Linked DNA regions of Canis lupus familiaris. The protein of the gene in region 1 purifies or fractionates together with the protein of each later gene. This does not show direct contact. Links are inferred from orthologs where the notes say so. Each region holds a gene or a part of one and is shown in the gene's direction. Other genes may lie near its edges. The genes, in order: KLHL22, NIPSNAP2, EMC7 and NUDCD3.

Region 1 (7,289 bases):
GCTCACCTGGGATGCCTCAAGGTATCTCACTGATGGTGACTCTGACCTCACTCTCTGACCCTGTTCCTCCCAAGTCCCTGTCAGCTCAGCTAACCCAGCCAAGGGCCCTGGTTCCTCCAGTGTTCTCCCAGATTCAGTCCTTCAGCATGTTCTTTCTGCCACCAGGCCCTCCCCAGGTCTGCAGGAACCCTCTTGCCTGAAAAGTCTGCTCACACCAGCCTCCTGTGTAAAATTCCCCAACAGCGCTTCATAATATGCTTGGATTTCAATCCTGACTCAGTCTTGACCTGGGGAAAGCAGAGACGTGGCCCTGTCTCACCTGCTCACTTCCTCTTTGCACTGGCCTGGCTGCCTTGGGTACTGAACTCATCCCTGCCCCAGAACTTGGGCTCCTGTCTCCTCCACCTGGAATGCCTTCCTCTGGCTGGTGAGGTGCCACCCACCTCCATCTCGGCCTGTCCCTGCTCCTCATCACTCTCCAGCTGCTCCCCTCTCCTAGCCGGGTGCTCCTAGGTTAGATGCCCTGTTGTGCTTTTTCCTAGCATTTCCTCACTCAGAAGTACCTTGTTCTTGTCCTCCTTCCTAGCATCACACTCTACATAAGTAGGAATCTTACCACTTTACTTGACTGTTACTCCTTTTTTTTAAGATTTTATTTATTTATTCATAAGAGTGACAGAGAGAGGCAGAGACACAGGCAGAGGGAGAAGCAGGCTCCATGCAGGGAGCCTGATGCGGGACGTGATCCCGGGACACCGGGATCAGGCCCTGAGCTGAAGGCAGACGCTCAACCACTGAGCCACCCAGGCGTCCCTTGACTGTTACTCCTCTGACTCTGAATGGTACTTGGCGTTTAGTTAGGAGCTCAGTTAATATATTTGGAGTGGAGTGACTTGTGTTACATGTTTTCCTTTCATTCATTTATTCATTCATCCATTTATTCATTCCTGACATGCTCTGGGCTGCTGCTGTGATCCAGGAAGCATATAGATGGATGTACCAGAGAACAAGCCAGATGTCCTTGACTCCAAGAGGCTCACGTGCAACACCCTGCAACACATGAAACACAGATGGTGATTTCTAGGATAGCTGTCCAAACTTGGTCAGGAGCTTGTGGGCACCTTCCGTGGCAAGACTCAGTTCTCAGAACACACACCAGTGTTCTGTTGCACATCACTGCTGGGTCAGCCTGCCCCCAGCTCCCTCTCACTTTGGTGTCCTAATTGATACAGATTTGCCCGACATGGGGCTTAAACCCATGACCCTGAGATCAAGACCTGAGCTGAGATCAAGAGTTGAATGTTTAACAGACTGAGACATCCAGGTGCCCTTATGATTGATTTAGATTGATAGAACAATGCTGTTTTGTGTTTTTACTTTGCAGAGGAATGTTTGCTGGGGGACTGAAGGAGATGGAGCAGGAAGAGGTCCTGATCCACGGTGTGTCCTATAATGCCATGTGCCAAATCCTGCATTTCATTTATACCTCCGAGTTGGAGCTCAGCCTGAGCAATGTCCAGGAGACGCTGGTTGCCGCCTGCCAGCTGCAGGTGAGGCTGCCCTCGCTGGAGCAAGGCAAACCCAAACCCAGGAGGTGATCCCCAGGTGTCTGCCAGGTAGTGGCATGAGGGGGATCAGCAGGCAAGGATACCAGGTGGCAAAGGAGATTGCAGGTGGCAGAGGCTCTTGGGTGGTGCATGGCTTAGCCAACCCTGGGCACTGAAGCATAGCTGCTCCAAATGCCTCCAGGCAGGCTCCTCTGCTTTTGCTTTCTGCTCTTCTGCTGGTTCCTTTCCTTCTGCCTGGGTGTCCCCGCCCCTGAGAAGATCCTGCACATAAACATGTGGGCTGACCCCGAGGCAGGTGTGTGATGTCCTGCATGCCCCAGTGTCTAATGAAGCTGAACTTCTCCCACAGTTCCCAAGTCCTTTCTGCTCATCCACCCAACTTGACTTCATCCATCTCTTTGAAACTACTTTCTTTTTTGTCATTGAATGTTGGATGCTTGTTCTTCTATAGAACTCAGGAAGTCTTCTGAGGCTTTGGCAGTGTGACCTACGTTTTAGAAGGCTGTATTACCTCAGTGGTGCTGGTGCAGCCACATGAGGGCTGGGCCTGCACGTGCCTTTTGCTTTCAGTAGCTGTTGTCAGATAGCCTCACCTGACTAGAGAGACTTCTCATTTTACATTTGTTGAAAGTGGAAATGAAATGCTATGCCGAATTCATTATCCTGACCTTTTTTCAGGTCAGAACACATTTGGGGCCAGAAAAAATATGTCAGGAAAACCAACCTGTTCAAGGGTGTCTGGAGGTCCCACACTATATGGGAGAGCCCCAGCAGTTCCCTGCACTGTCGCTCTCAAATGGGCAGGTGGGAGGCCCTTGGCCTGTGCTTGTTGGGTTGGCTCACCATATGCAATGAGTAGATGGAGTTGAGACAGTGCTTCTGAGCACTTTAGCTAATATTTCTGAGGCTATTGTGTGGATAGCATGGGATGAAGGAGCCCCTCCTTACCAGTTGCAAGTCCATAGGCCCTATCATGGTCACGTTTGTGTAGCCATTGATTACATGCTCCCCACGTGCTGTGCTTTGAACTAGCTTAGGATCAGTAGACTGTTTGTGGTGTCCCCAGGACCTGGATCTGAATCCCAGCAAGACTGTCACCACTGGGTAACCCCCAGCAAGGGTTCATTTCTCTGAGCCTTTAATGGGGTTCCTGCACTGGGCAGGCCTGGGGTGATTCCTTGTGAGCTTCCCCAGCAGAGGGCCCACTGCTGTGACAATGAGGATGGGAAGAAGAGAGTGACACGAAGCAGTTCTTCAGGAGCTGCTTGTCATGCCCACTGAGGACTGTTTGCTGTCACTTTCTACCCAGAACCTGGCCCTCAGTGTCCTGGCCCATGACAGATCAGAAGTATTTTAGGAAGAAGAGGCAAAGCAGAAGTGCCTATCGAGGAAGAAATGGGTAGTCAAGACTTTCAGGACCTAACAGCACTATGGGGACGTTCCATGTGGGGCAGACAGACGCATGCCTGGCACTTTACAGGTTTCCATTCAGTCCTTCCTAGCTTATGACCTGGCAAGCATAGAGTATCTTTGGAATGAGAAAAAAATAAAGATAAAGAGATTTTAAATGTTTATTAACAAGCCTCACACCAGCAGAATTCTCTGTGTGTTCTGATTAATTTGTTGGTAATGAGTGAGGCATTCTCATTTTTAGTGCATTTTCAAAATCCTGTTTTCCTAAAGAACTTAGCAATGCCTGGGCAGCTTTCCCTAGAGCCCTCCTCTCTGCCTCCTTCACCCTGCCATGCTCTGATTGTCTAATCATGGGATAACCTCTAAGCCCGGGGCTCACTTCTCATCTCCCGCCTCGGCACCCTTCTGTCTTGCCCTTCTTCCAACTCACTGGTTTTTCTGCACAATTGGAAGAAGGCAAATGTCACCTGGAACCCCTGTGCTAGCCAGAGTCATGCAGGCCTTTCCCCAGGCAGGATGGCTTCCAGCCTTTCAAGAACTGTCTGATGTTGCCAGGAAGAGTGCTGGGCGAGCATCTGAAACACCCTGCTGGCAGTTCTTAGCTCGTGGGTGGTTCAGGATCCTTCTCCTGGGGTGGGATCCCTGGGCCTGCAGCTTTGGCTCAATCTGCAATTGTGGGGGTTGTGGCAGGAGAAGAGAGCTGGATATCTTGTAGAGAGCCTGCAGAGGGGCAGGCACAGGTCTCAGGTGCCATCCAAACCAGGGTGGCTGATGTGGCCACTGTGCTGCTTCCTGATTCTCTGAAGATTCACTTCTTTTGATCTGAAAGGGTCCACTCCATGCCAGATACTTTGGGGTGCAGTCTCATCTTCAAATTTATTCCTCTCCACTTACAGAGGAGGAAACTGAGGCTCAGAGCAGTTAAAAAAAGCGACTCACAGGTCGCTTCGAAGCCTGGTTTTAAACCCAGTCAGTCTGCAGTGAGCCCCAGTCACCTCTTCAGTTGGGGGAAAGCAGCCGTGCCAGGGAAGGACAGGGGTGGTGGAGGGGGGCCTGCTGTAGCCAACAGCTGTGTGTCTGCTGTTAGCCTCAGGCTCCCTCACCCAGACACATTCTTCCCAGCCTGGGCTTGAGCGGGGCTTGTTCTCTTCACAGATCCCGGAAATCATTCATTTCTGCTGTGATTTCCTCATGTCCTGGGTGGATGAAGAGAACATCCTTGATGTTTACCGGCTGGCGGAGCTATTTGACTTGAGCCGTCTGACTGAGCAGCTGGACACCTACATCCTCAAAAACTTTGTGGCCTTCTCACGGACTGACAAGTACCGCCAGCTTCCCCTGGAGAAGGTCTACTCCCTCCTCAGCAGTAACCGCCTGGAGGTCTCCTGTGAGACCGAGGTATATGAGGGTGCCCTGCTCTACCATTACACCCTGGAGCAGGTACAGGCTGACCAGATCTCACTGCACGAGCCCCCCAAGCTCCTTGAGACAGTACGTTTTCCCCTGATGGAAGCTGAGGTCCTCCAGCGGCTGCACGATAAGCTGGACCCCAGCCCGCTGAGGGACACGGTGGCCAATGCCCTCATGTACCACCGCAACGAGAGCCTGCAGCCCAGCCTGCAGGGCCCTCAGACGGAGCTGCGGTCGGACTTCCAGTGCGTCGTGGGCTTTGGGGGCATTCACTCCACGCCATCCACTGTCCTCAGTGACCAAGCCAAGTACCTGAACCCCCTGCTGGGAGAGTGGAAGCACTTCACCGCCTCCCTGGCCCCCCGCATGTCCAACCAGGGCATCGCGGTGCTCAACAACTTTGTGTACCTGATTGGAGGGGACAACAATGTGCAGGGCTTCCGTGCCGAGTCCCGGTGCTGGAGGTAGGCGGGAGTGCTTGGCTGAGACTTGGGCTGTGGGTGACCCTGTGGTGCGGGAGCCATGGGCTCAGGAGGCTGCTTGTGGAGTGGGCTCTGCGAGGGCTGAGGCACTAGCCTTTTAAATTAATCTTGTGGCTTGTTGGGGTTAAAGTCGAGGTTAATTTGGAGAGTGCAGGCTGTGATGAGGCAAGGAAGAGGAGACTGTGCATGCTTGCTTTCACTCTTTTCCTCTTCTCAAACCCACTTACCATAGGTCACCCCTGCTGTCCGTGGGTGAGGAGATAGGTTGTGAGTGACTGTGCCTTGGAGTGGCTGGGCACAGGGCTCCGCCTCAGAAGGAGGGGACCTAGTTGCCAGGAGCACTGGGCAGGCAGCTGCTCCTTCCATCTTGCCCTCTCCAGCTTTGATATGTCTCATCCCGGGCTCCATTTGCCCATCAGCTCTCTTAACCACAAGCCCCTGGTGAGGATGGCTTCCTGTCCTCCCTCCCTATTTTGTAGTATATGGTCCTCTGTCCAGGGAGCCCAAAAAACCAACAGGCATCACTGAACCAGATTTCACTACCCCTGCCTGCCCTGGTGTCAGGGGTGTTGCCAGGCATGGGGTCCCCCAAGGTCCTCTGAGCAGGCAGTTTTCCAAGAAGGTGGGGCTTACTGTGATGTACTCTATGTGCTTTTCTGTATGTTAGGTCTTTATAGGTCCTGGTTCATAGCTTCCAAAACCCCCCTTGGAATTTCATAAAAGGAGAACACTAATTTTGTCTTTTGTTATGTTAATGAGGTGGCTTTGGAAGCCCCTGAGTGTGAGTGGGGGATGGTCACCGGGAGAACCAACCCTGCCATTCAGAGAAGGGCCAGTGATTTAATCAATCAGTGCCTATGTAGTGAAGTTTTCATCAAAACCCAAAAGGAGAGGGTTGGGAGAGTTTCAGGGTTGGTGACCACCTAGTTAGAGGTGCTGGGAGAGTGATGCACGGGCCTGGAGAGAGCTTGGAATCTCCCTGCCCTTTCCCCAGACCTTGCTCTGTGCATCTCTTCCTGAGTATTCCTGATTTATATCTTTTTACAATAAACAGTTAATCTAGTAAGTGTAATGTTTCTCTGAGTTCTGTGAGCTACTCTAGCAGATTAATGAAACCCAAAGAAAGGGGGATCTTAGAAACCTCTGATTTATAGCTAGTCAGTCAAAGGCACAGCTTGGTGCTTGTAATTGGCATTTTGAGCTGGAGGGGGTCATTGGAACCTCATGTTATTAACTGGTAGGTCAGAAGCATAGATAATAGCCTGGGCTTATTACTAGCGTCTGAAGCGGAGACAGGCAGGATGGGGCGGTACCATCTTGTGGACTGAGCCCTCAACCTGTGGGGTCTGATGCTACCTCCAGGTAGATAGTGTTGGAATTGAGTCGACTTGTAGAACACTTAGTCGGTGTCCCGAGAATTGCTTATCAGTGTGGAGAAAATGTCATGCCCCCTGCCCCAACACATACATCGGAATTGAGTCCAGGAACCCAAGAGAGGGGATTTTGTGGACTGTCCTGGTCTGTAGGCTGCTTCTAGCTCTGTCAGTCTATGGAGCTGTGATCCCAGAAATCCATTTTGGGGGGCAGAACAAAGTAATCAGGGCAGGTCTCCACAGCCTCCGCTACCATTAGGTGTCCGGGGCCCTGCTACTGTATTTGGTTTGATTTCATGGGATTTGGCGCATGTGGCAAATCTGCAAGCTGAAAGAAAGCTGGCACCGCAAAGAGAGATTTTGCCAGCTGCTTCTATGGCTGTGAGTTAGGTACTGACCCACGTTCACGTTTCCGTCTTTGGGGGTGGGGGTGGAGTCTGGCCTGCCTCTGCCTCTGCCTCTCAGAAGTGAGCGTAGTGACCTAGTGACCAGTGACCATGAGGAGAGGGCCGTAGCCGCTTCTGCCCTCTGGGCCCCAAGAGGTGGTCACCTCTGTTAAACTGAAGAGACCCAAAGCTTGGCAGCTCCTTTGCAGTTAAACACAAGACAGGCTGAGTTCAGAAAGGAGGAAACAATATCTTCATTTTCTTCCTAACCAAATACCTTCCACAGTAGGTGTGGCAGCACTAGCTTCAACCTTCCCTTAAAAAGCCTCAAAGCTTCTTTTGTAGGGGTCTATATCCCTGTTGGAGGCCCAAGGCCTGAGCTCCCTGCTGAGAGCAACCCACAGACCTGCAAAATAGACCTCCAGGGTGTTGTGTTGACCAGCCCTTGGCATATAGTGGGGTGGCGTGCACGCACAGGGAGGCTGTGAGGCTTTCCCACAGGGCCTTCCCCAAGGGCGACTGCGAGGGCCGCTCCCTGCCCGGGGTCTGCCCTTCTACTTCCTTGACGTCAGTTTTGCTTCAAGACTGGTCTGAATTTCCCATTGGTGAACATGTGCTGTGAATCCCAAGCCAGACTCTGAAAAATTCTAGTGTCAG
Region 2 (7,806 bases), on another chromosome or scaffold:
TGGAGAGTTTCAATTTTGTTGCTGCTTTTTAATAAACTATGAACCTAGATTTTAACCTGAAGAAACAATGAGTTATATATTTCAGTTTCCTGGCTTCTAGAAACTTGGAGCATATTTTGGTGTAACTAGTATGTGTATTGTACAAGCACAGGGTTTCAGCAGTAACCATAACCACTGCCCACCCACTCAAGGCTCATAGTCTAGCACGGGAGGTATGTGCATGTTTCTTCATAGCAGAGAGGCACTTGGTGGGTTGGGGGAAGAAATTAGGATAACTTCCCGGAAAAGGCTAGATAGTGCTTGAATGGAATCTTAAAAGAACAGTCTCCAGGCTAATAGGTGAGGGTTGTGGAAAGGGCATTCCAGGTGGTGTAAAATCCTGAAAGTATGAGAGAAAGGAGCATAACCAAGGGGTTCTGCAAGCTGATGACGACTGCTGGGATATTTTAAACATGAGTGGAGTTCAGGTAGAGAAATAGGTGGAAATTATACTGTAAGTGGTTGTGGGTTTTTTACATTTTTAAAGAGAATGATATAATTAGATTCACACCAATAAAAGTAATAGCATCGGTGTAAAGAATGGGACTGGAAGGGGAAAGATTAGAGGGATAGACAGATCTGTTCAAAGATTAGTCCTAAGATCAAAACTGAACTGGGTGAGGAAAGAGGAAAAGGGTAGATGATGTTCCAACAAGCAAAAGAGTGTCTAGGTCCAGTGTTAAATGGAACCTGTTATCCCGGAAAAAACAGGACACCTGTGCAAGCCATCTCAAAAACCTCATATTTAAAATGCTTATATATACTCTTTTTTAATATCTTAAGATATTTTTCCTAATAATCTTGGTGTAAAAATTATGTTCCAGGAATATGCCCTGTATTTCTTTAGTGGCATTGAGTAACCTAAGCTGTACACCTGTGAGATAAGAGTACTTCCCCATCCCCCGCCCCACCAGTAAAAAGCATTGGGTTAATGGTCCTCCAGAGCAAGAGGATAGTGGAGGGAAAAATGCAGAGTAAGTGGCCTAATTCTAAGTAGCACAAAAGCAACATCAAGAAATATTTACCAAGCTTACATCTCAGGAAAAAAAATTTTTTTTTCAGGAAAATATATTTTAAAGCATTGGTCTCTTAAAAAATAGCTGGGAAGTTGGGAGAATGTGTGAGAAAGTCACAAAGGGTACACCGACATCACTGGCTTGAAGAAGCTTGCTTCCTGCAGTGGAGGATTGGGACATATCCTTTCTGCTCTGGGGAAAGCTCATTTTGGCCTCCCTTTTGGGTCTAACAGCTTTGCTTTTTTTTTCTTTTCTTTTCTTTTCTTTTCTTTCTTTCTTTCTTTCTTTCTTTCTTTCTTTCTTTCTTTCTTTCTTTCTTTCTTTCTTTCTTTCTTTCAAGATTTTATTTATTTATGACAGACAGAGAGAGGCACACAGGCAGAGGGGAGAAGCAGGCTCCATGCAGGGAGCCTGACGAGGGGTGGATCCAGGGTCTCCAGGATCATACCCCGGGCTGAAGGCAATGGCAAACCGCTGGGCCATCGGGGCTGCCCTGTCTATCTGGGTTTCTTAACCAGCTCACTAAGCATAAGCCAGTTGAGATCAGGAACCCGCTCAGCCACACAGCCTCTGGTCTCTTGTCCTGTGTCCCTTGGTCTTTTTTCCAATGGCCTCCAAGAGATATGTATGTCCCCGGTCTGGAGCAAATCCTTGCCACTCCTCCATCCACCGGACCCTTTATGTCCTCCATGGTGGCTCCCTGACATTATTAACATGTTCAAATAGTCCTCCAGTCAGAAAACTCCAATGCTGCCTTTGCCTCCAGGAAGCCCAGCTCCTGCCCCCACCCCTCTTAGGCAGAGGCCTGCCTGGATCACAGAGACATCCCAGCTTCGCAGTCCTGAGGGCAGTTTCCTCTTGGCCTCCGCAGATTTGGACTGCCCTCCAAATGCTCCCCTCAGCTGGGGCCTATTCCCTGTTTCTCCCCCTTCTCTCACTGACTCCCTTTCTGCCTAACTTGTCTTGGTTGCAGCTTTCAAGGTTACATTTGTGGCTTTTATCTTACCCAGGATACATTTTCCATAAATCGTGCCATCATGACCTACTTCTTGGCCTGAGATGCCCTCCCTTCCATGGGTCAACTCGTGTCCCCTCAGTGCCCTCTCTCATGTTGCCTCTTGTGAGCCTCTTTCTGCCAACACCTGACACACTCGGCCAGTTGTTGGTTTATATCCTGCCCTAACAGATGGGGGCGGCAGCACCAACCAGGCTTGGGATGAACGGGAACAATGTAGTCCCCAGACCACAAGATAACTTGAATATCTTTACATCCAGAATGATTCTTTTTAATTTAAATTCAATTTGCCAACATATAACACCAGTGCTCATCCCATCAAGTGCCCTCCTTAGTGCCTGCGACACAGTTATCCCATTATTCCCATCCACCTCCCCTTCTGCAACCCTTTGTTTCCCAGAGTTAGGAGTCTCTCATGGTTTGTCTCCCTCTCTGATTTTTCGCACTCAGTTCCCCTCCTTTCCCTTATAATCCCTTTCACTATTTCTTATATTCCCCATATAAGTGAAACCATATGATGTTTGTCCTTCTTCGATTGACTTACTTCACTCAGCATAATACCCTCCAGTTCCATCCACGTCGAATCAAATGGTAGGTATTCATCCTTTCTGATGTCTGAGTAATATTCCATTGTATACATATAGCATATCTTCTTTATCCATTCATCTGTCGAAGGACATCAAGCTCCTTACACGGTTTGGCTGTTGTGGACGTTGCTGCTATGAACATTGGGTGCAGGTGTCCTGGGTTTCACTACATCCGTATCTTTGGGGTAAATTCCCAGCAGTGCAATTGCTGGGTGTAGGGTAACTATTTTTAACTCTGAGGAACCTCCACACAGTTTTCCAGAGTGGCTGCACCAGTTCACATTCCCACCTACAGTGCAAGAAGATTCCCCTTCTCCACATCCTCTCCAACATTTGTTGTTTCCTGTCTTGTTATTTTCGTCATTCTCACTGGTGTGAGGTGGTATCTCATTGTGGTTTCGATTTGTATTTCCCTAATAAAAAGCAATGCGGAGCATTTTCTCATGTGCTTGTTGGCCATGTGTATGTCTTTAGAGAAATTTTTGTTCATATCTTCTGCTCATTTCATAACTGGACTTATCAAACTCAGCACCCAAGCAACAAACAATCCAGAACGTTTTTTTTTTTGTTTTTTTTGTTTGTTTGTTTTAAGATCTTATTTATTTATTCATGAGAGACACAGGCAGAGACACAGGCAGAGGGAGAAGCTGGCTCCATGCCGGGAGCCTGACGTGGGACTCGATCCCAGGACCCAGGATCAGGCCCTGGGCCGAAGGCCACGCTAAACCGCTGAGCCGGGCCGGTACTGTACAGTAACGTCTGCTCATATTTCTCCTGCGCAGGCGGGTCACGACACCCAGCTTCTTCCGCAGGGGGCGATGTCCTCTCCTGCTTCGCCGTCAGTTGCCCCTGGCGGCCCCGCCCTCACCCCGGCGGCCCCGCCCCGCCCCGCCCCGCTCGGCGGGCCCCGCCCTCCGCCCCACCCCCGCCTCGGCGGGCCGGCCGGGGGAGGGGTCGCGGTGGTGGCCGTGGGGCGGCGGCGGCGTCGGCGGCGTCAGCGGCGGCCCGCGCGGCGGGAGCCCAGGCGCCAGAGCAAGATGGCGGCGCGAGTCGTGCAGGCCTGCGGAGCGGCCTGGGCCGGCGGCGTCCTGCGGCGGGCCGCTCCCTGCAGCCTGCAGCCTGCGCTCCGGTGAGCAGCGCTGCCCCTCCCGGGACCGGCCGGGGAGTGGCCGCCAGGGCGGAGGGCGCGGGTCCACGGCCCGCTAGCGCTCCCTCGAGCAGGCCCGCCGGGGCAGCGGGGGCCGGGCCGGGCCGGGCGGGCGGGGCGGCTGAGGGCCTCGGCACAGTCAGAGCGCGGTCCCGGCCGTCGTGCTCAAGGTCACGGCGGGGACGGCGCCCGGTGCCCAGGCCACGTCCGCGCGCCGTGTGGGCCTGGCCTGGGGGACCTTGACCCGGCGCGACCCCAGGCCCTGGACTCGGCATCCGGCTGCCCGCGGGCGCCCAGGGCGGGCTGTGCGCAGGGCCTGGGGTCCGCTCTGCGAGGGCGCTGCGGACAGCACGAGCTCCAGGGGGAAGAAGAGCGCCTGCCGGTGAGCCCCGGGAGCGCGGGGCCGTCGCGGGGTGGGCTCGACGCTGCCGGCCGCCGGAGTGGGATGGAGAAGTAGGTGACGGATCAGAAAGGTTTTACAAGGCATCAGCCCCAAGTAGGCCTTGGGTTCAACTTTAAACTTTTTCTAGCCTCTGTGGATTAAATATTCGGCTCTCCTGAATTCATCCCTCTGACACATCCATGTCCTGTTTTCCATCAAAAACCAAGCTCCTACTGACTTACATAGATTTGCTTTCTTGCTTTCTTTACATTTATCATTTAAACGTTATCTGTGGTTTAATAACGAGCCTCTAGAACTAAATTCAGTTGCTGCTTAACGAAAGAGTAAAGGGACTGCCTGTTCTTTAAACTCTTATTATGGGCCAGAGAGTTTATTTAATTTAATCCTAGTACCAATCTTAAGTAACAGGATCTGCATTTTATAGATGAGACGTAATCTCCATGGAGGTGAGACCTCTAGCTGGAAAAGGCATTTGAACTCAAGTTTATCAGGCTTCAGGCCTGGCACCCTTCCTAGGACTGATGTCCAGCTTGAGTTTCCAACTTTTTTTTTAAAGATTTATTTATTTATGATAGACACAGAGAGAGAGAGGCAGGCAGAGACACAGGAGGAGGGAGAAGCAGGCTCCATGCCAGGAGCCTGATGCGGGACTCGATCCCGGGTCTCCAGGATCGCGCCCTGGGCCAAAGGCAGGCGCCAAACCGCGGAGCCACCCAGGGATCCCCCTTGTGTTTCCAAATTTGATGTTTATGTTTCCAAGTTGATGAACAAATCAACCTTTTATTTTCATTCTGTTACTGAGCATCTGCTGTGTGTCTTATTTTTTTTCACACAGGTGATAAGAAACTATGAAATTCATATTTTCTTTTTTCCAAAAAGACCCAGCATATTCACCTATAGATCCCATAGTCACAAAACTAGTAAACTGGAGATTTGGACCTGGGTCTGCCCAGTACCCCCACTTCTTGTGGGGCCAAATGCTCTTGAAACTGAAGCCCAACATGTCAGCTCTTGGATTACTCTCTCAGGCCCCTTGTATCTTTTGACTGCCTTAACTGTAGATGTTCTTTAGGACTCAGTCTAGACCCAATTAATTCACTGCTTCTACAAATACTGAATGTATATGAATGTATATGTTTTTGAAGTTTTGTGGAACTCAGCATAATAGTCACTATGGGTCACTATGCCCAGCAAGCCATATGGCAGAGGTAAAAACCCATACAGACTTAAAGATTGAGGTAGGTGGTGTGAGAGAACCTCAGGGAACCTACCACATGAAATCATGGAAGGCCTCTCCAAGAAGGTGCCGTTGAGCTGAAACCTGAAGGGTCAGTGTGCAGGAAAGCCCTGACTGGGAAGGAGTGAGGCATACCAGCAAGCTCCAGAAAAGCCTAGGAAGGGGAGCATAGTAAAGGGAAGAGAGGCTAGAAGACAGGTGGCAGGGAGCAGTAGCCCCATAATTCCAGGCCTTGCAAGCCATTTTAGAGAGTTTGGAATTTATACTGAAAGCCATGGAAGACATTTAAAGATATAAATTCTAGTGTGACAGGATCTGGCCTGTGTTTTTAACATACCAGTCTGATTTGGAAAGCAGACAGAATCAAGGGTCGTGGCCAACTGGGCAGATGCTGGTGCCATTTCCTGAAAGTCCCTTGTTCTATAGGCATATGAGTGCCCATAATGTGCCAGGTGCTGTTGGGAAATATCAGTGAATAAAGTTGTTGCCATCTGGGAGCTTGCTCCTAATTCAGAGAAGGAAGAACAGGAAGGGGGAATCCAGAGCACTTCTGAACCTGGTAAAGTTGGAGATGGCTGTGAGCTATTCAAATGGAAAGGTATTTGGCCTATTTGATCTTTTTGACTCTTCAAAGGAGATGTCTGGACTACAGGTTACATTTGGGAGTTGTCAGTATATAGGAATGCTAAATGTTGATAGATATGTAGGTTTTGTTATACTGTTTTGCATTTAATTGAAAATCTTCTTAACAAAACATTATTCATAGGAATGGATGAGATTGCTTGAAGAGTGTGGATAGAGAAAGGGCTGAGAGGGATCCCTGGGTGGCGCAGCGGTTTGGCGCCTGCCTTTGGCCCAGGGCGCGATCCTGGAGACCCGGGATCGAATCCCACGTCGGGCTCCCGGTGCATGGAGCCTGCTTCTCCCTCTGCCTGTATCTCTGCCTCTCTCTCTCTCTCTCTCTCTCTCCCCCTCTCCCCCTCTCCGTGTGACTATCATAAATAATAAATAAAATCTTAAAAAAAAAAAATAAAGACCAGCATATAAGAATTTAAAAAAAAAAAAAAAAGAGAAAGGGCTGAGAAACAGGCTTTGAGATGTCAACCTCCACAGGCTAGCCACATTATGGAAAGAGCCCAGATGTCTGTCCACCAATGAATAGATAAAGAAGATGTGGTATATATGTACACTGGAATATTAGTGATCATAAAGAATGAAATCTTGCCACTTGCAACATGGAACTGGCGTGTATTATTGTAAGCAAAATAAGTCAGAGAAAGACAAATATGATTTCAGTCATATGTACAATTTAAGTCACAAAACAGGGAAGAAAAAATAAAATGAGATACAAACAGGCAAACCATAAAAGACTCAGATATGGAGAACAAAAAGGGATGGGCATTAAGGAGGGCACTTGTTGGGATGAGCACTGTATGTTATATGTAAGTGATGAATCACTTAATTCTACTTTTGAAACCAGTACTACAATTGAATGAAATTAAAACAACTTTCACAGGCTAAATGTAGGAAGGAGAGGGAGCAAGGGGAATGTGGGAAAGCCAATGAGGTTGCTGTTTGTGGCAGTGCCCAAAGGGAGGTATTTCAACGAGGTGGTGGCCAGCTGTGCCAGATGTTGCTAAAAAGTAAAGATGACAGAAGACTGGATTTGCCCGCAGGGATCCGTGTGTGACCTTGCAAGAGGGATTTCAGAAGGGAAGGATGCTGTCTTCCCAGGAGATATATGCTAGCACCGCTTACCTAGCTCTGCTCAGTGACAGGCCTGGAGTTGCATTTGCTTCGTGGACATTACACTAATGTCCTGCTTGAGATGCTTACTGTACCCAGAATTTAACTCATCTGCCTCCTACAGAACCTGCCTGTTCTTCCTGGGTTCTCTCTCAAGTACTGGCCCGTCTTCCATTTCGTGGCCCCAGGCCCACCATCTCCCAGCTAGACACTTGCCAGATCTGTCAGTTCTACCTCCAGCATGTCTTGGCTCTGCCTTCTCTCTCACCATCTCCCTGGTTCCCTTGCCTAACTCTTGGCAACACTTGTCTGGAGTCCCATGAAGAGTGAGGACTTGAAGCTGTTGGTGAAGGGGGCAACTAAAGAATTCTGAGCAGAACTTTTTCCTATAGGAAGATGTCCAGTACATAAACCTGGGCTGGGTACTGCTCCCTTTTCTTTCCCATCCCATCCCACCCTTGCCAAGGAAAACTTATAACAGTTTGGAAACAACTGGAGATAGTTTAATGTATGAAGGGGACATTAGAATTATTCTTTTCCTCAGATGTGAGCATCGTACCATGGTTTTGTCTTCATTCTCAGGAGGTGCATGCTGAAGTATTTAGGGATAAAGTAC
Region 3 (7,930 bases), on another chromosome or scaffold:
TTTTATTTTTATTTTTTTAAATTTTATTTTTTTTATTTATTTATGATAGTCACACAGAGAGAGAGAGAGAGAGGCAGAGACACAGGCAGAGGGAGAAGCAGGCTCCATGCACCGGGAGCCTGACGTGGGATTCGATCCCGGGTCTCCAGGATCGCGCCCTGGGCCAAAGGCAGGCGCTAAACCGCTGCGCCACCCAGGGATCCCCATAACACCCTTTTAAAAAAGGAAATAAATACTACCTGTAAAACCCAGGCTCAACCTCTGCTGGTACAATCCAACATTTTAAGTGCCTTGTTGTTTTTTTTTTTAAGATTTATTTATTCATGAGAGACCCAGAGAGAGAGAGAGGCAGAGACACAGGCAGAGGGAGGAGTAGGCTCCACACAGGGAGCCCGACGCTGGACCCATCCCAGGTCTCCAGAATCACATCCTGGGCAGAAGGCCGGACTAAACTGCTGAGCCACCCGGTCTGCCCTAGTGTGGTTTTTTTGAGGGTTGTCTCTCTGTTCCTATCCTTGTTCACCCCCTTGTGGCCATGATATGAAGAAGCCAAGAGCTAGGCAGAAAAAAGAGAGGAGAAAGAGAAAACCAAAGGGCCTGGATAATAAACGGATCACCTCTCACTTTAACAGTATTTTCCATAATCAAGGTAAGTAAGTCTGTTCGAAATCTATATGGGTCAAGATCTTGACAGGAAATAATAGATGGAAGACTTGAAGGACTTATTGTAAATTATTCCTTCGTTGAACTTCTTCCAAGTATGGGCAGAAGTAAAGGAAACTGAAGTGTCCTCCATATACCTCCTCCAGAAGTCAAGGAACCAAGTTTTTGCAATCCTTCAAGATCCTGCCTTCTAAGGCACAAAGTAGAGTGAGGGGTAGAGTGCATCTGGCTGGACAAACAGAGTAGGTCCAGGACATAGTTTTTCTAAAATATTTCATTATAATTATACTTTCTTTTATAAGGCATGAGTTCAAGGGATACATTATGGAATTACTCTTGTATAATTTAGAGTTAGAAACCTATGCAGTTCCTACGGTTTGCTTGGCAAACACCAGCGGTCATAGAATTTCACACTACCAGAAAACATTCCTTAGTCTTCTCTATTCCAGCTGTGCCCATGGAGGTAGAAGCCTGGCATTCGAGGGGCTCAGATCATTAGATCCTTTGGCATTAGAGTGACAATAAGATAGGGGAACAAGGAGAAAGAAATTGAGAGCTCAGTTGCTGTTTGCTGCTGGTCCTCTTCCACATTGCCCCTCAAAAAAGTAAACTCCACCGCTCCTATATGGTATTAAGACCCACACTGGGGGCACCATGGGCTCAGTGGCTGAGCGTCTGCCTTCCGCCCAGGGCATGACCCCAGAGTCCCAGAATCCAGTCCTAGTCGGGCTCCCTGCATGGAGCCTGCTTCTCCCTCTGCCTGTGTCTCTGCGTCTGTGTCTCTCATGAATAAATAAAATCATTAAAAAAAAAAAGACCAACACTGATTACCTATTTTTTTAAATTTTTTTTAAATTTTTGTTTATTTATGATAGTCACAGAGAGAGAGAGAGGCAGAGACACAGGCAGAGGGAGAAGCAGGCTCCATGCACCGGGAGCCCGATGTGGGATTCGATCCCAGGTCTCCAGGATCGCGCCCTGGGCCAAAGGCAGGCGCCAAACCGCTGCGCCACCCAGGGATCCCCACTGATTACCTATTAATCAAATTAACATGTCTGAGACACCAGCAAAGCAGATCACCAAAAATATGTGAACATTTAGGGATGAAGCTATTTTTATTTTGGCATGTTTGTAAATTTTGTATCGTTCTTGAAAAGTGAAATTTTATTTCATGGTTTAGTACAGTTTTGACAGGAGGTGGTCGAGGGTAGGGCCATAACACATGATAACCTTTCTACAGTAGCTCTGCTTCTTCCAAGGATCAACTGTGAAGAAAGGGGGAAGTACCTCCGCCCGACAATTGCGGGCGCTCCCGAGGACAGAGCACGGGTGGCCGCGGATACCGCGTCTCTAACCCTTGCCAGGGGCTCAAGAGTATTTGGCTCTTCCATCCCTTTTCCCAATTTTTGTTACTTTTCTTCGGGAAGCTAAGTCTAAGAGTTCACAGAACAGAAACACGCATTTCGCTCGATAATCTTCAACAGAAATGTGTCATCGAGAGCACAACGTTTATAACCAACAGAAATCTTAGGCAGAAGCCTTTTCTCTTTCTGTCATCAAGAAGGTGAAAATACTGGAGATGCTCTCTGCCATCTTAGCTTGGTTCCCCCGACCCCCGCCGTTGTTTACGGTAAAGCCCTGAAAACCGGGATCGGTGTCGTGCGGGTAAGCGGCCTTCAACCCTCTCCCTTTTCACCGGAGGCGACCCTCAGTGAACAGTCTGTGTACCTGCCCCACTCTTCTAGGCACAGACGTCATCCCCTTCGCACACAAGCGGGAGCCTTTGCATCTCGCACGTCTCGGAGCATCCCTACAACTTTTTAAGCGCTCTCTTCCGGACCCGCGTCTCCTGAAGCCGGGGCCTCATCTGCAGACACCGGTTCAGAGGGTCGTCGCTCTCGGCCTCACAGCCTCCCATTCCGGCGCGGTCCCGCCGCCGCCGCCGCCGCCGCCGCCGCCGCGCACAGGGCCGCACTGCCGCTCGGTGGGTGGAGCGACGACGGGACGCACCGACCCTCGCCTCAGACCGCCTTCCGGCCCCGCGCGCCGGAAGTACTTTGCCCCATTTCCGCCTCGCAAGCGATTGGCGCAAGCCTCCTTCCCTTGGCTTGGAGCCCACAGCTCGAGCCGGCCCCCGCCTCTTGCGCGCAGTGATGACGACATCGGCCGGCGGCGGCGGCGAAGACTGGGGGACGGTTAGGGCTTCCTGGGCTGCAGGCCTGGCTGGTGCGAGCTGCTGTCATGGCGGCCGTGCAGTGGGGCTTCGTTTCCCTCCTCCTGTTGTTGCTCTCAGGGGATGCCCAGAGCTCGGAGCTGCCTGGGGCTGCTGCCGATGGGTCAGGCGGGATTGGGGTCGGCACAGGAGACCGCTTCAAGATTGAGGGACGTGCGGTTGTTCCAGGGGTGAAGCCCCAGGACTGGATCTCGGCGGCGCGAGTGCTGGTAGACGGAGAAGAGCATGTCGGATTTCTTAAGTGAGCCTCCTGTGGGCAGCGGGAAAGCGGTTGGCGTGGACGCTAGAGAGGAATTGCCCCTACGCGAGCCAAGTATCGGAGGGCGAAGGGGTGGGCGCCGGTAGCGGTCTGTGCGGGGAGACCTTGGGGGGCAGCCCCGCGCTTCCCCTTTCCTCCCCATCACCCCGTTTCCCCGTACCTCGGAAGCGAGGGTGGCAGGTGCTTGTCCCAGGGCGGAGCAGGGGGGGTCAGTTTTCTTCAACTCCGTTTTTGCCTTGTTACGGGGTCGACCACTCCAACCGCTGAGCCACCCAGGGGTCCCCGAATCTGGCCACTTTTGCATTCATTTCTGTCTTTTGGCAGCTTGATGTTGTGTAGAAATATGCTGAGCGAGTGGGAATTCTCAAAGCCCAAAGGATTTCTATGATGGCATAGACTGGGAGGCTAATGTTGCTGCTTCTGAAAATAATGGGCCCTGAAGTCCCTAATCAAAGCACCTTTTTTTTTTTTTGCCTGGAGGTGGGATTATTCTTTTTTTACAGTTGAATTCATCGAGGGATTTGCAACATTACATTTGGGGCATTTGTGTGAGACTGGGGTTTCTCCATATTTGCTAACATGGTTCAGTCTTTTCTAGCTCATTGTAAAAATGGGATTTCAACTTCTATTAAAGAACGTGGTGAATTTATTAGCACTCCAGTTTTGCAGTAACCTGCTTTTCAGATGTTTAGACACAACTGTGATGTTTTAAGTCTTTCATTCGCTGCTTGGGGTGTGAAACTGAACTGAAAGAAAATATTTAGGGCAGCTCCGATGGCCCCGGGGGGTGATCCTGGAGACCCGGGATCGAGTCCCACGTCGGGCTCCCTGCATGGAGCCTGCTTCTCCCTCTGCCTGTGTCTCGGCCTCTGTGTGTGTGTGTGTGTGTGTCTGTCGTGAATAAATAAATAATTTAAAAATATTTAGGGGGATGCCTGGGTGGCTCAGCGGTTGAGCGTCTGCCTTCAGCCCAGGGCGTGATCCTGGAGTCGTGGGATCGAGTCCCACATCGGGCTCCCTGCAGGGAGCCTGCTTCTCCCTCTGCTGTGTCTCTGCCTCTCTCTGTGTGTCTCGCATGAATAAATAAATAAAATCTTAAAAAAAATAAAAATATTTAGGAAAAAGTGTTTTCCTGACTGGTTTGTATACCAGCAAGTGGTATTTGAAAACCAGACATCGTAAATATGGATCTTTCTTTCTTTCTTTCTTTCTTTCTTTCTTTCTTTCTTTCTTTCTTTCTTTCTTTTTTGGACGTTTATTTCTAAATCTGATTTGCAAATATTCAGATCACCCGGGTGCTGTTGAATTAGAATTTGAATCTCAGATTAATAATGATGAGAAGCTAGTCTTTTTTTTTTTTTTAAGATTTTATTTACTTATTCATGAGAGCCATACACACACAGAGAGAGGCAGAGACACAGGCAGAGGGAGAAGCAGGCTCCACGCAGGGAGCCGCAGGTGGGACTTGATCCTAAGTCTCCAGGATCACTCCCTGGGGGAAGTCAGCGCTAAGCCGCTGAGCCATCTGTGCTGCCCGAGAAGCTAGTCTTAATGCTATTTGTTTTTACAAATCTGGCGTTAGGGCGTTCTTTAGGGTTTGCCTCTAATGATGTTTTAATGAAGAAACTCAAACCTTGGGAATTGGGGATCCCTGGGTGGCTCAGCAGTTTAGCGCCTGCCTTCAGCCCAGGGTGTGACCCTGGAGACTCGGGATCAAGTCCCACATCCGGCTTCCTGCATGGAGCCTGCTTCTCCCTCTGCCTGTGTCTCTGCCTCTCTGTGTCTCTCATGAATAAATAAATCTTTAAAAAAAAAAAAAAACATAAAGAAAACCTTGGGAAATTAGCCTAAACTGACCACTTGGCTTCTCTTTTCTGTGGTATATAATTCTTTTAAGAAGCATTTATAATTTTTGTTTTAAAATAAGGTATAAGTTATATGTTTGTTGAAGAAAACATAAACAAGAGGTAAGGGATAAGACAACATTTTATCGTATCCTTTCCAGCCTTTTTGTAATCATATGACCTGTTTTTAATAGTAAAATACAATATATAGTACTCTGTAGCCTTTTTTTTTTTTTCCACTTAATATCTTGTGAGCAGTTTATGACATCCTTTCATGTTCTGGCATTTGTATATAGAAATGTTAAGAATTAAAAAAAAAGAATATGAAGAGCTTATGGTGGGACTCTTGTTGGAAGAGGGATAGTAATTTGTCTTATACCTGTTATGCATAACTACAATGCCATTTTGACTTATAGTTCTGCTTGTTGAGGGTGGCTTGGGTCTTGGCTAATGGAGGTGAGGGTTTTGACTGAGGATGCTTCATGCCACTTCTTGCTCTCATCACTGTGTATATAAAGCATAATTTACACTCCAGAATAAATAATTCAAGGGAAGTCTAATGAAAGGATTAAACAGTGTAGTCATGGTGTTAGGGAAACAGCCAGGTTGTGCAGTACTCTGGAGTTTACAACCTCAAAGCCACTGTCACCTCTAAGCCTGAAGGAAGTAGGGGAAGTAAAGGTTACTGGGGCAGGAAAGGACTGCCGCAAGAGGAGCTCTGCCCTGTGATGGAGCAAGTCAGAGATGGCCTCTCAGGGAGAGAGCTGAGGAAAAATATGCTAAGCTCATTTTCTTTCCTTCCGGTCTGCAAAGAGGGAGGAAAAGGGTGGAGAGTGGGTCTGAAGGGCCAGTGAAGACCTCCAGCCCAGGAATAAGTTAGTTTGATGTTTACATTTCAATTCTGTTTTAGTTTAGTGTGTACTTTGAAGTAGCAAGGAGTATCTTTTCCTCCTGCTTCTTTGTAAGTATTGTGAATGTGGCAGAATCAGTTTTTTCTTTAGCTATGAAAGAGCCTAATGATTTAAGAAGCATTATTCAATGTATTATACTAGGACTTCTTTGATAAAACAGATTTTTTTAAAAAAGATTTTAGTATTCATGAGAGACGCACAGAGAGAGGCAGAGACACAGGCAGAGGGAGAAGCAGGCTCCATGTGGGACTTGATTCCAGGACCCCGGGATCACGCCCTGAGCTGAAGGCAGATGCTCAACCACTGAGCCACCCAGGTGTCCCTAAAGCAGATCTTTTTAGGATCATTTGTTTTCCTGAAACAGATACTTCTTTTTCTTCAGAAGGTCAGTTTCTCATTATCAAAACAAATTAATTTTGATTGTAAACCTGAGATTATCAACTCTTCGTGGGATGGTTTTCTAAGTCTAGAAGGTAATAGAGGAAATCGGGAAGAAAAGGCAAATGGTTTTAACCACATAAATCTATTAAACTTCTATATATCCAAACAAAAGTAACCAAAGTAGATGGGAACTATATGTAATATGTGGAACAAATGGTGTTTGATGACCTTTTTCTTAGAAAGACAACAAAATGCAAACAAAAACTAGGAAAAAGCCATTACATTTTAATTAAGGAATTGTTGCAGGAGGTTGGCAAAATTGAAACCTTAATATTGTAGTAATAATGCCTATTGATAATTTCCCTTGAATGAAGACATGGCTTCAGAATTGAAACAGTACCCTCTTTATCAGCTGTCCCACAGAAGGAATTAGAAGTGCTTTCTATGTCAGGATTCTCTGCTCCTGTGGAGTGCTCAGAGTTGTCAGAATCCTTTCAGTGTGATTGTGGAAGCTGAAGCATGGGGACAATTCTTGCCAGTTTGGGTGTTTTTTTTGTTTCTTGTTTTGTTTTTTCTAACTTCTGTGTCATTTGGAGGAGCTTGATTTAGGAGTTAACAGATGATTTAAAACATAAGAAGAAAGCAAGCTGTTGATCAGCAGTATCCAAATAATGATTTTCATTTTTCCAGGACAGATGGGAGTTTTGTGGTTCATGATATACCTTCTGGATCTTATGTAGTGGAAGTTATATCTCCAGCTTACAGATTTGATCCTGTCCGAGTCGATATCACTTCAAAAGGAAAAATGAGGTAAGAGCATCTGATTTAGTTTTTACAAAAGGCGAGGATACCAAATACCTCCTATATTGCTTTTAGAATTTATAGTTAGGGTTGAAAAGTTTCTCATGTAAACTACAGATATTCCATGAAACATCCTTACATTATCTTTAATATTAAGTTTTTCCCCTCTGCCACCTAAAATATCCTTATATTATTTTAATCTGAGTATTGGTAATATTGCAAAGTTGAACTTCCTCCTGCTCTGATTTAAAATTTATTTTAAAGCTCCTAATATGATTATAATAGAGAAGAGGCAAGATTACCTATCATGAGAGCAAAAACTCTGAGGGTTATAATTGCAATATGATTATTGAAGTGGGAAATAATTTAACTTTTCTAAATTAGAAATATTACTACCTGTTTTTCATTGGAGTATCTTGATAATACCTCTTAATACCTATTTAATAGTTGTATTGATCTAGAAATTTCTACAGTTCTTCCTTTCTGAAATATTTAGAGTACATTGGAAATTTAGTATTTTTTAGGCAAATGGTAGATTACATTGTTTAGTTTATCTCAAAGTAAGGATCGTGATAAGAAAAAAAGCACAGTATTAGAGGTTGGCAGACTAGGAAAAATTTCAAAATTTCTAAGTAGATGAACATATGCTTTGAAGTTTAGGTGAAAAGAATGCTGGACTAATTCAGGTTGTGAGTATGGAATATCACAAATCCGTTTGAAGTTGGAATCCCTTGTGTAGATGTCCACAATTATTCTTTCTGTTATAACCCCAGTTATTTTTTTTTATTGTCCCATACCAGTAATATTCTCTTTGGTCTAATCTGACCAGGAAGTATAT
Region 4 (7,289 bases), on another chromosome or scaffold:
TGACCTGTTCTGAAATCAAGAGTTGGACACCTGCCCAGGCACTCTGACATTGTTCTTTTTTGATGTCCTGTCTTTGGCCAGCAGGGGCCCCTTGGGGGCTTGTGTGTCCCTTTCTTGGGACCCTCCTCATCTTGAATGGTATCCTTTCTCAGGACAGGTGAGCTCAGGCTTTGGTTCCTGTGAGATGGGTGTGAGCCACTCCCATCTGGGAAGACCGACTTCCGGTAGATGCTAGGTGGAGAGAAAATTATTGAAACTGGATTTAAAGAGTTGAAGGGTAGGATACACAGCTTGTCTCCCCTGAGTGCCGCAGAGGGCCAGGAAGCCTCCCTTCCTCGGAAGAGTGGACTGCTAAGCCTGTGTCCTTAGGCAGACTGACTTTCAGGTGGGAATGCATTGAACCAAGACCAAGTGTGAGGGGACAGTGACCCCAGGTAGGAGGGAGACAGTGGGTGTCAGCGAGGCTTCTGGACCGCACAGACCTGGTGTGCAGGGTCCTGAGCCTGGAGCATGGCCCCCGATGCCATGGGCTCCCACTGTTCCAGGAGCTGGGAAGAAATGGGGGGGAGGAGCAGGAGGGTGAATGCGTGCTGCTGGGGTGAGAGGCTGTGAGCAGGTGGGTCTACCTGCTGCAGAGCCCTCTGGGCGGGTCACTGTGCTCAGACTCTGCAGCCCCACCCTTCCTCTCCAAGCTGCACGGGGAGCATGGCGGTCATATCTTGGCGAGACGGGGCCTGTGGACCCACTTCTAGGAGGACTGGTCCTCGTGAGGCTCTTGAAGCAGGGCATTAGCCTCCAGGGTTGGGCTCACCTCTTCCAGCTTGGGAAATACAGGAACCCAGAGAGGAATCCCTGTGTTTGTACCTGCTGTGACACCCGTCTGGGAGCCGAGGTGGTGGGACCAGTGAGCAGAAGGCCGGTAGGAAAGGTAGAGGTACTCGGGGAAGGGAGAGGTTGAACTGCTTCTGTGTGTGCACGCTCAGGCTGCACATGCACAGGCAGGCCCTGGGTACACTCAGGGGAGCCACCCCCACTCCCAGAGCCTGGGGAGGGGCCTGAAGGCGGCCCCGTGGCTCCCTGTAATACACCGTTCCCATGCCCCATGTGCAGTCAAGCCTTCTGCACAGAAGCATTTAGGTTGGGCTGTGACCCCTTCACCCACCACTTTTCATCCTGGCCACTGCTGTTCTGAACTGGGGAAGGCAGGAGGCCCTTCAGTTCCTGCCAGGCACAGGGCCATGGAGGGAGGGAGGGAGGGAGGGGTGGGCTGAGCAGAGTTCCCACCTGTGCAAGGTGGGGCTGGCTGGGGCCACCCGCACTAGCCTCCGGAGCCTGGCCTGGCTTTTCCTTTAATGCGATCAGAACCCTGCCATGGGCCTGATGGCCTCTTCAGACGTGGGCGCTGCAGGGAGGCCTGGCTGCTGACTCATGCTCCCCCCCACCCCCAGTGTACTCCCTGGCAGCTGCAGGGGTGTGGCTACAGGCCTGTCAGGGATGACAAAGCGAGGGGGCCCAGAGCACCTGCACATGACAGGAGGCTTATTTTTACACATTGTTGGCTGGAAATAACCAACTTTATTTAAAGAGAATGTGGATTCCAAGTGTTAAAAAAAAGCACCCAGCAGTGTGCCTGGCTCTGTGGGGAGGAGGCTGCAGGGTCCACTCGGGGTGAGCCAGCCCAGTGCCTGCCTAGCTGCCCCGCCCCGCACTGCAGTGTGACCAGAGCTCCTCTGTAAGCACCCAGCTCCGGGACAGCTCCTTCGGCACAGCTCCACAGGCGCAGGGTGGCCCCTCGAGCAGATGTGGCCTCGTGGCATCTGCTGTGCATTATGGTTGTGTGTGGACACCGGCTGATAGGGGCTCAGTGCAGTGTGTGGGACATAGCCATCCCTCCACTGTGAGAGGTCTTGAGGTTTATTTCTGGATTTGTGCCAAGCGCCAGCCACGTTGGCCTTTATTTTGTATGTTTATTTTTGTGTTCCTATAGCTTTGATGATTTCAGGTAGTTAATATGCACATTTTTAAAGGCCGTGCAGTTAGGCTGAGTCTCCTGGCTCCATGCTGGTCGGGTTTGCTGGAGCTTGTCCATCTGCTGTGAGCTTTAAAGCTTCACTGGCTGCTCAAGCGGGTAGGGGATGCAGGTGCAGGTCCTGGCCACCCTGTCCTGCTGTGCTGGTCTGGTCTCCCTGGGCTTGCTTCAGGTGTCAAGGTGTGAGCAAGCTGGTATGGTCATGGGAGAGCTCCCAGTTGTGGGGCCATGGCACAGATTGCCATCTCCTGTCTTGAAGAGCTGTTTTTTCTCTTGATCAGATGTCCATTTTGGGGCAAAATTGAGTAATGGCTAAAGGTACAGAGAAGAGAAGCAAACTGCTCTGACTCCACCACCCAGAAACCCCACAGACACTCACCAGGCTTGTGCCTGGACACGTACACGCACGTGTGCATTTCTTTTTAGGGAACGGGCCTGGGGGCCGTGCTCAGAGCTGTGCACAGAGCTGTGCACAGGTATGTACTGTGGTGGCCCTGCCCGGGATGCCCTGCCTTGACCTCTCCTGCCTCTTCCACCCTACTCTGTGGGGCTGTCTTTCGAGCTCCCTTCCAGACTGGGTAGGGCCCTCCTGGCCCCTTTGAGCTTCTGCAGAGGCGGACAGCCCTCACCTCCGTGGCCCGCAGCTGCATGGTGGTGCTCGCAGCATCATCCCTCTGTGTGCATCTTCGCGTCCCGGTCTCCCCCTTGAGAAGGACACCGAGTGGATCAGGGCCCCCGACGACCTCATTTTAACTTTGAAATAAGGCGTTCTGAGGTGCTGCTGGAGGTTAGGATAACAGAATTTGGGGTATCACACTTCAGCCCTTGATGGCAGCCAGTTACTAGCCCCAAGGGTTGGACTGTGATGAACACCCAGTCTCACATAGAAAGCGTGTGAGGCGTACCTACAGGAGTTAAACTGTTCTCATCCGAGATTGGGGGCTGATGGGGTGTGTGCATCTTCATCTGTACACATGAAGACACACAGCAGGCCGGGTCTCCCCATGGGTGTGTTCATGGGGCTCCCTAAGGGCTGGAGAAGGCGGCCAAGCTGCACTTGTTAGTATGTCCTCCTCCACGACTGGGCTTCTGTCTTTAATTAATTTTTTTTTTTGAAGATTTTATTTGTTCATGAGAGACACAGAGAGAGGCAGAGACACAGGCAGAGGGAAGATGCAGGCTCCATGCAGGGAGCTCGATGGGGAACTCGATCCCGGATCCCAGGATCGCACCCTGGGCCAAATGCAGATGCTCAACCACTGAGCCACCCCAGGCGTCCCCTGTCTTTAATTTAGTTGTAAAATTCCCCATAGTGGGTTTGTGAGTCCACACTTATTTTTATAATGCTATTTATGCTCTTAGCAGCAGCCTGACGTTTAACAGCAAATGTTTTGCAGTATTTTACTTGTAACATTGCTTGGCCAGGCCTGTCTGCCTCTGTGCCGGGCTGGCCCCGCAGTTAGTGGGGTGTGGCTGGTGGATTTCCAGGCATGCTACTCACCTCTTAGAGCCTGTGGTTTGGTGTGCAGTGCAGTATTTACCAGGAGAAAGCTGGAATTGTGGTTGGGTTAGGGTGCAAGCTGAGAAGTTGTGGCTGAAGTTGGTCTACGTTTTTGTGAAGACAGGCCTTGCCGAGCAATTTGTGAGAAAGCAGGAGCCTTGGGTCTTTATGACCGAGGTCCTGTGGTTGAGGGACTGGCCTGCTTTCTGAGCCTGGTGAAGTCTGGTAGGCCCAGCTATGCTGTGGGCCGCAGCTGTGGACGCTGCCCCCCAAGCTGAGGGTACAGCGCTTAGGGGCTCTACAGAGTGTCCCTGTGTCCCCGTGGTTTCCTGGGAGGCCTGAGACTTAGGTGGAACTTCTCAGGAGCTGGAGACCATCTGTGGTCAGGACTCCCGCATGGGGGCGTGCATGGGTGTACGGTGGGGGACCCAGGTGTGCGGTGGGGGGCCTGTGACCCAATCAGCTGTGTGGGCCTGGGTGCATGGGGGAGCTGGGTGCATGGTGGGCGGCACAAGCGTGTGTTGTGAGGGGGCCCACGTGTGTGGCCGGGGGGCCTGTGGCCCAATCAGTTGTGGGGGGCCCAGCATGTGATGGGGTCGTGGTCCCTCGCGTGTGGGCCCAGGTGCCATCTCACCTATCGCTCTTCCCCAGGAGGCAGGAACAGTTCCAGAGAAACCCTGACAGCTACAATGGTGCTGTGCGTGAGAACTACACCTGGTCTCAGGACTACACCGACCTGGAGCTCAAGGTGCCGGTGCCGAAGCACGTGGTGAAGGGCAGGCAGGTAACCACGGGGCTCCCTAGGCTGGGGTCTCCACACGCGGGGTTGGGGGTGGGCTGTGCTGGAGCCGCTGGGCCGGTCTCCGCGTCCCCCTGCAGCCACGGCCGCGCCCCGCCAGCCTGCTGTTGCGCTCGGGCGCACCTGGTGGGTGCTGGATCTGTCCCATGTCATCCTGTGGTGCGTGGCCGGGTGTCCGCACAGGACACCGCAGGGGAGGCGGGGCGGCCGGAGGCCTCTTCCATAAGCAGGTCAGGTGCACGTGGGCGCCCAGGCTCTGAGCTCCCGCGTGGGGCGGGGTCATGGCCGGTGGGGTGGGGGCGCTCACAGCTCCAGTCGCTCTCCCCATCTCCCGGAGCGCGAGCGGAAGTTGAATCTTTCAGCAGCATAGAGAGGTTTCCTCAGGAGCCGCGCGCAGAGCGCCATTGTTGCAGGGTGTCACAAGTAGGGAGGCTTCACTTTAAAGGAAACCCTGTGGTCTGTGAAACGGGACATCACTTTATTAGAATTCCCCCACCATACACCGCGTCCTGGCTATCGGCTTCCCAGGGGCCCGGAGCCGCAGAGCATGCAGCACCTTCCATGTTCTGAGGGCGAGGGTGCGCTGAGGGCTTGCTCGTCCTCTGGTGACACGGGGACTGCCGCGGCCCCCCGCTCCCACCGCGCCCAGACTGGGTCTGGGGGCCGATGGCTGTGTGCAGCCGGGCCGGGCGCAGGGGCCTGAGCCTGCGATGCTCCTGCTGCTCCGAGAGCCGCGCTGCAGGCAGCCTTCCCAGAGAAGGCCCAAAGCGCGGGAGCAGGATCTCGTGCGTGAGGGGCACCGGCGTTCTCTGGAAATGAGCCCCGTGTGAGGTGGTGCCGGGCCCTGCAGATCCGGTCATGGGTGAGGCGGGCTGGGCAGCGGGGAGCCCTCCAGGCCCCTGTCTCCAGGCCGGCCCAGGCTGCCCGGGCTCCTCCAGGACAGGCGCCCCTGTATTCAGGGCCTGGCTGGCGCCAGCCGCCCCCAAGGGCGGCCTAACCTGGCACGGGCCTCGCGGCTCCGTGGGGCTGCGACTGGCTGTCGGGCGTGGCTGCCCGTCTCCCGTCCCCTCCCTTCCTGTCCTGTCTGAGGAGATCTCACCAAGGCTCAGGGGTCCCTCGTCAGGCCGACTTTGGGACCCCAGTCAGACCCGGTGGCGAGGGCTCGTCCCAAGGTCTGGCTCAGGTGACCGCGGCCCCTCTGGTGCTGGTGGTCAAGGGCGGCTGGTGCAGGCCAACCCTCCTGGGGGTCCCATGCAGGCATCTTGGGGCTCATGCAGAGCGGCTGTGGGTGGGACTCCTGTTGTGGTGGGACTGCCCTGTGCGGGTGAGGGAACTCTGTGCAGCGGTGGCTGTGGACACTGCTGAAGATCGTCACAGCTCCCTGGTCTGCTCTCTGTCTGACTGACCCGTCATCTTCTGGAGCTTTCTCCCAAAGGACTTGCGTCCAGCTCGGCCTAAACTAGTTATTTTCTCTCTGACTCTGGGGACCCAGTGACATGCCTCTCCTGCTGTCGCTGCCTGAATGCGCTCTGCTCGGCCATGGGCACTGGATTACAAGGTCCTGCTGCCCCTCAGCGCATCGCCTGAGGCACAGGCCGTTGTACCTCGGGGTCACATCCATGCCTCTCACATGGGGCGTCGCAACCTCGGGGACAGGTCCTCACTTTCACTGAGGGCAGCCCTAGGGTTCGCCGCCCGGGACCTCTCCTGAGGATGCGAGGGTTCCCGAGGCTGGGCCAGGACTGCTGCTCTGGGCTGGCAGTCCGCGGGCTTGCGCCGCGCAGCCCCCCGGCGAGTGCTGTGCTGCCTCAGGCCCCACCTGGCCGCGTCCTCCCGGCCCTCCGGCCCTCAGTCCTGTGGCCGCACCAGGAGCAGTGATGGAGAGGGGCTTGCTCGGTCCCCACGGGCGGATGGGCTGCAGGGAGCACGGGAGCCGGGAGAGCCGTGGTCCCCGTGAGCGCAGGCTTGTGGCGCCTGCCGGCATGCTCCTGTCAACCTGGCTGCGTTGGTTGTGGCGCCTGCCAGCCATGCTCCTATGCTCCTGTCAGCTGGGCTGCGTCGCCGACCTGAGGGGAGGGCCTTTGCCTTTGGTAGTATTTTTTGTTTACATTACTGTTTCGTTTTGTTTGGTAATTAAAGTGCAGTTGAGGGATCCCTGGGTGGCGCAGCGGTTTAACGCCTGCCTTTGGCCCAGGGCGCGATCCTGGAGACCCGGGATCGAATCCCACGTCGGGCTCCCGGTGCATGGAGCCTGCTTCTCCCTCTGCCTGTGTCTCTGCCTCTCTCTCTCTCACTGTGTGCCTATCATAAATAAATAAAAAATTAAAAAAAAAAAAGTGCAGTTGATGTACCAGCTTCAGATGCCCAATGCGGCAACTTGCTCCTGGTCTGCGTTAGGTCTGGGGAACGCCTGTCACCTCCCTCCAAGGGGTGCCTCTTGTGGTGAGAACTTAGGACTCACTTAGTAACCCCACAGTATGTGTTCTTCCTTCTCTTAAAACTCTGGGGTCTCTCATGTTTTTAGTGATCTAGGAGTTTCAGCCGTGACTAACTTCAAACTTTGGAATAGATGTATTTCGTGTCTCTTGGCTTTTGCTGGTCTAAGGGCTTTTTCCCTCAGAGTTGCGCCTTCTCTCTGGACTGGCTCCCTCCGGCTCTCCCCTGGGGTGCCTGTCATAGCTCCCTGTCAGCAGTGTTTATTTCTGGGCCTCGTCTGTGGCACCTGTCAGATATCGTCGTGCTGATAGCTGTGGTGGTGGCAGCTCAGTGTGGAAGTCCCCGTTGGGGTGTGGGGGCAGTGGGCTGCGGGTAGCTGTGGGAGGGCTCCTGCACCCCGAGTCTCCCACCGGGGACTCCAGAGCATTGCCTCTCCTGGCTGACTTTTTGTAGAAACAGACTGTCAAGTGTGGCAGAGGACAGGACGGAGCATGTGCATAATGTGTGATGTGCAAGTGTCTGTA

Evidence for each region.
Region 2: the proteins of KLHL22 (region 1) and NIPSNAP2 purify together in Homo sapiens (co-immunoprecipitation; 3 studies listed by BioGRID and IntAct, counting the BioPlex papers as one, with this or other methods). This does not show direct contact. The link is inferred for Canis lupus familiaris from reciprocal best matches to the Homo sapiens genes KLHL22 and NIPSNAP2.
Region 3: the proteins of KLHL22 (region 1) and EMC7 purify together in Homo sapiens (co-immunoprecipitation; 3 studies listed by BioGRID and IntAct, counting the BioPlex papers as one, with this or other methods). This does not show direct contact. The link is inferred for Canis lupus familiaris from reciprocal best matches to the Homo sapiens genes KLHL22 and EMC7.
Region 4: the proteins of KLHL22 (region 1) and NUDCD3 purify together in Homo sapiens (co-immunoprecipitation; 3 studies listed by BioGRID and IntAct, counting the BioPlex papers as one, with this or other methods). This does not show direct contact. The link is inferred for Canis lupus familiaris from reciprocal best matches to the Homo sapiens genes KLHL22 and NUDCD3.

What each region holds. Positions count from the first base shown.
Region 1 is NC_049247.1:30,432,940-30,440,228, reverse strand, and holds part of KLHL22 (kelch-like protein 22), read left to right. Parts: intron 1-1,384; coding exon 1,385-1,550; intron 1,551-4,136; coding exon 4,137-4,855; intron 4,856-7,289. UniProt on the Homo sapiens protein: Substrate-specific adapter of a BCR (BTB-CUL3-RBX1) E3 ubiquitin ligase complex required for chromosome alignment and localization of PLK1 at kinetochores.
Region 2 is NC_049227.1:360,289-368,094, forward strand, and holds the start of NIPSNAP2 (protein NipSnap homolog 2), read left to right. Parts: upstream 1-3,630; 5' UTR 3,631-3,694; coding exon 3,695-3,786; intron 3,787-4,124; exon of another isoform or gene 4,125-4,249; coding exon of another isoform or gene 4,250-4,257; intron 4,258-7,806. UniProt on the Homo sapiens protein: Protein involved in mitophagy by facilitating recruitment of the autophagy machinery required for clearance of damaged mitochondria.
Region 3 is NC_049251.1:1,220,782-1,228,711, forward strand, and holds the start of EMC7 (ER membrane protein complex subunit 7), read left to right. Parts: upstream 1-2,810; 5' UTR 2,811-2,904; coding exon 2,905-3,137; intron 3,138-6,981; coding exon 6,982-7,101; intron 7,102-7,930. UniProt on the Homo sapiens protein: Part of the endoplasmic reticulum membrane protein complex (EMC) that enables the energy-independent insertion into endoplasmic reticulum membranes of newly synthesized membrane proteins.
Region 4 is NC_049237.1:14,198,288-14,205,576, forward strand, and holds part of NUDCD3 (nudC domain-containing protein 3), read left to right. Parts: intron 1-4,181; coding exon 4,182-4,314; intron 4,315-7,289.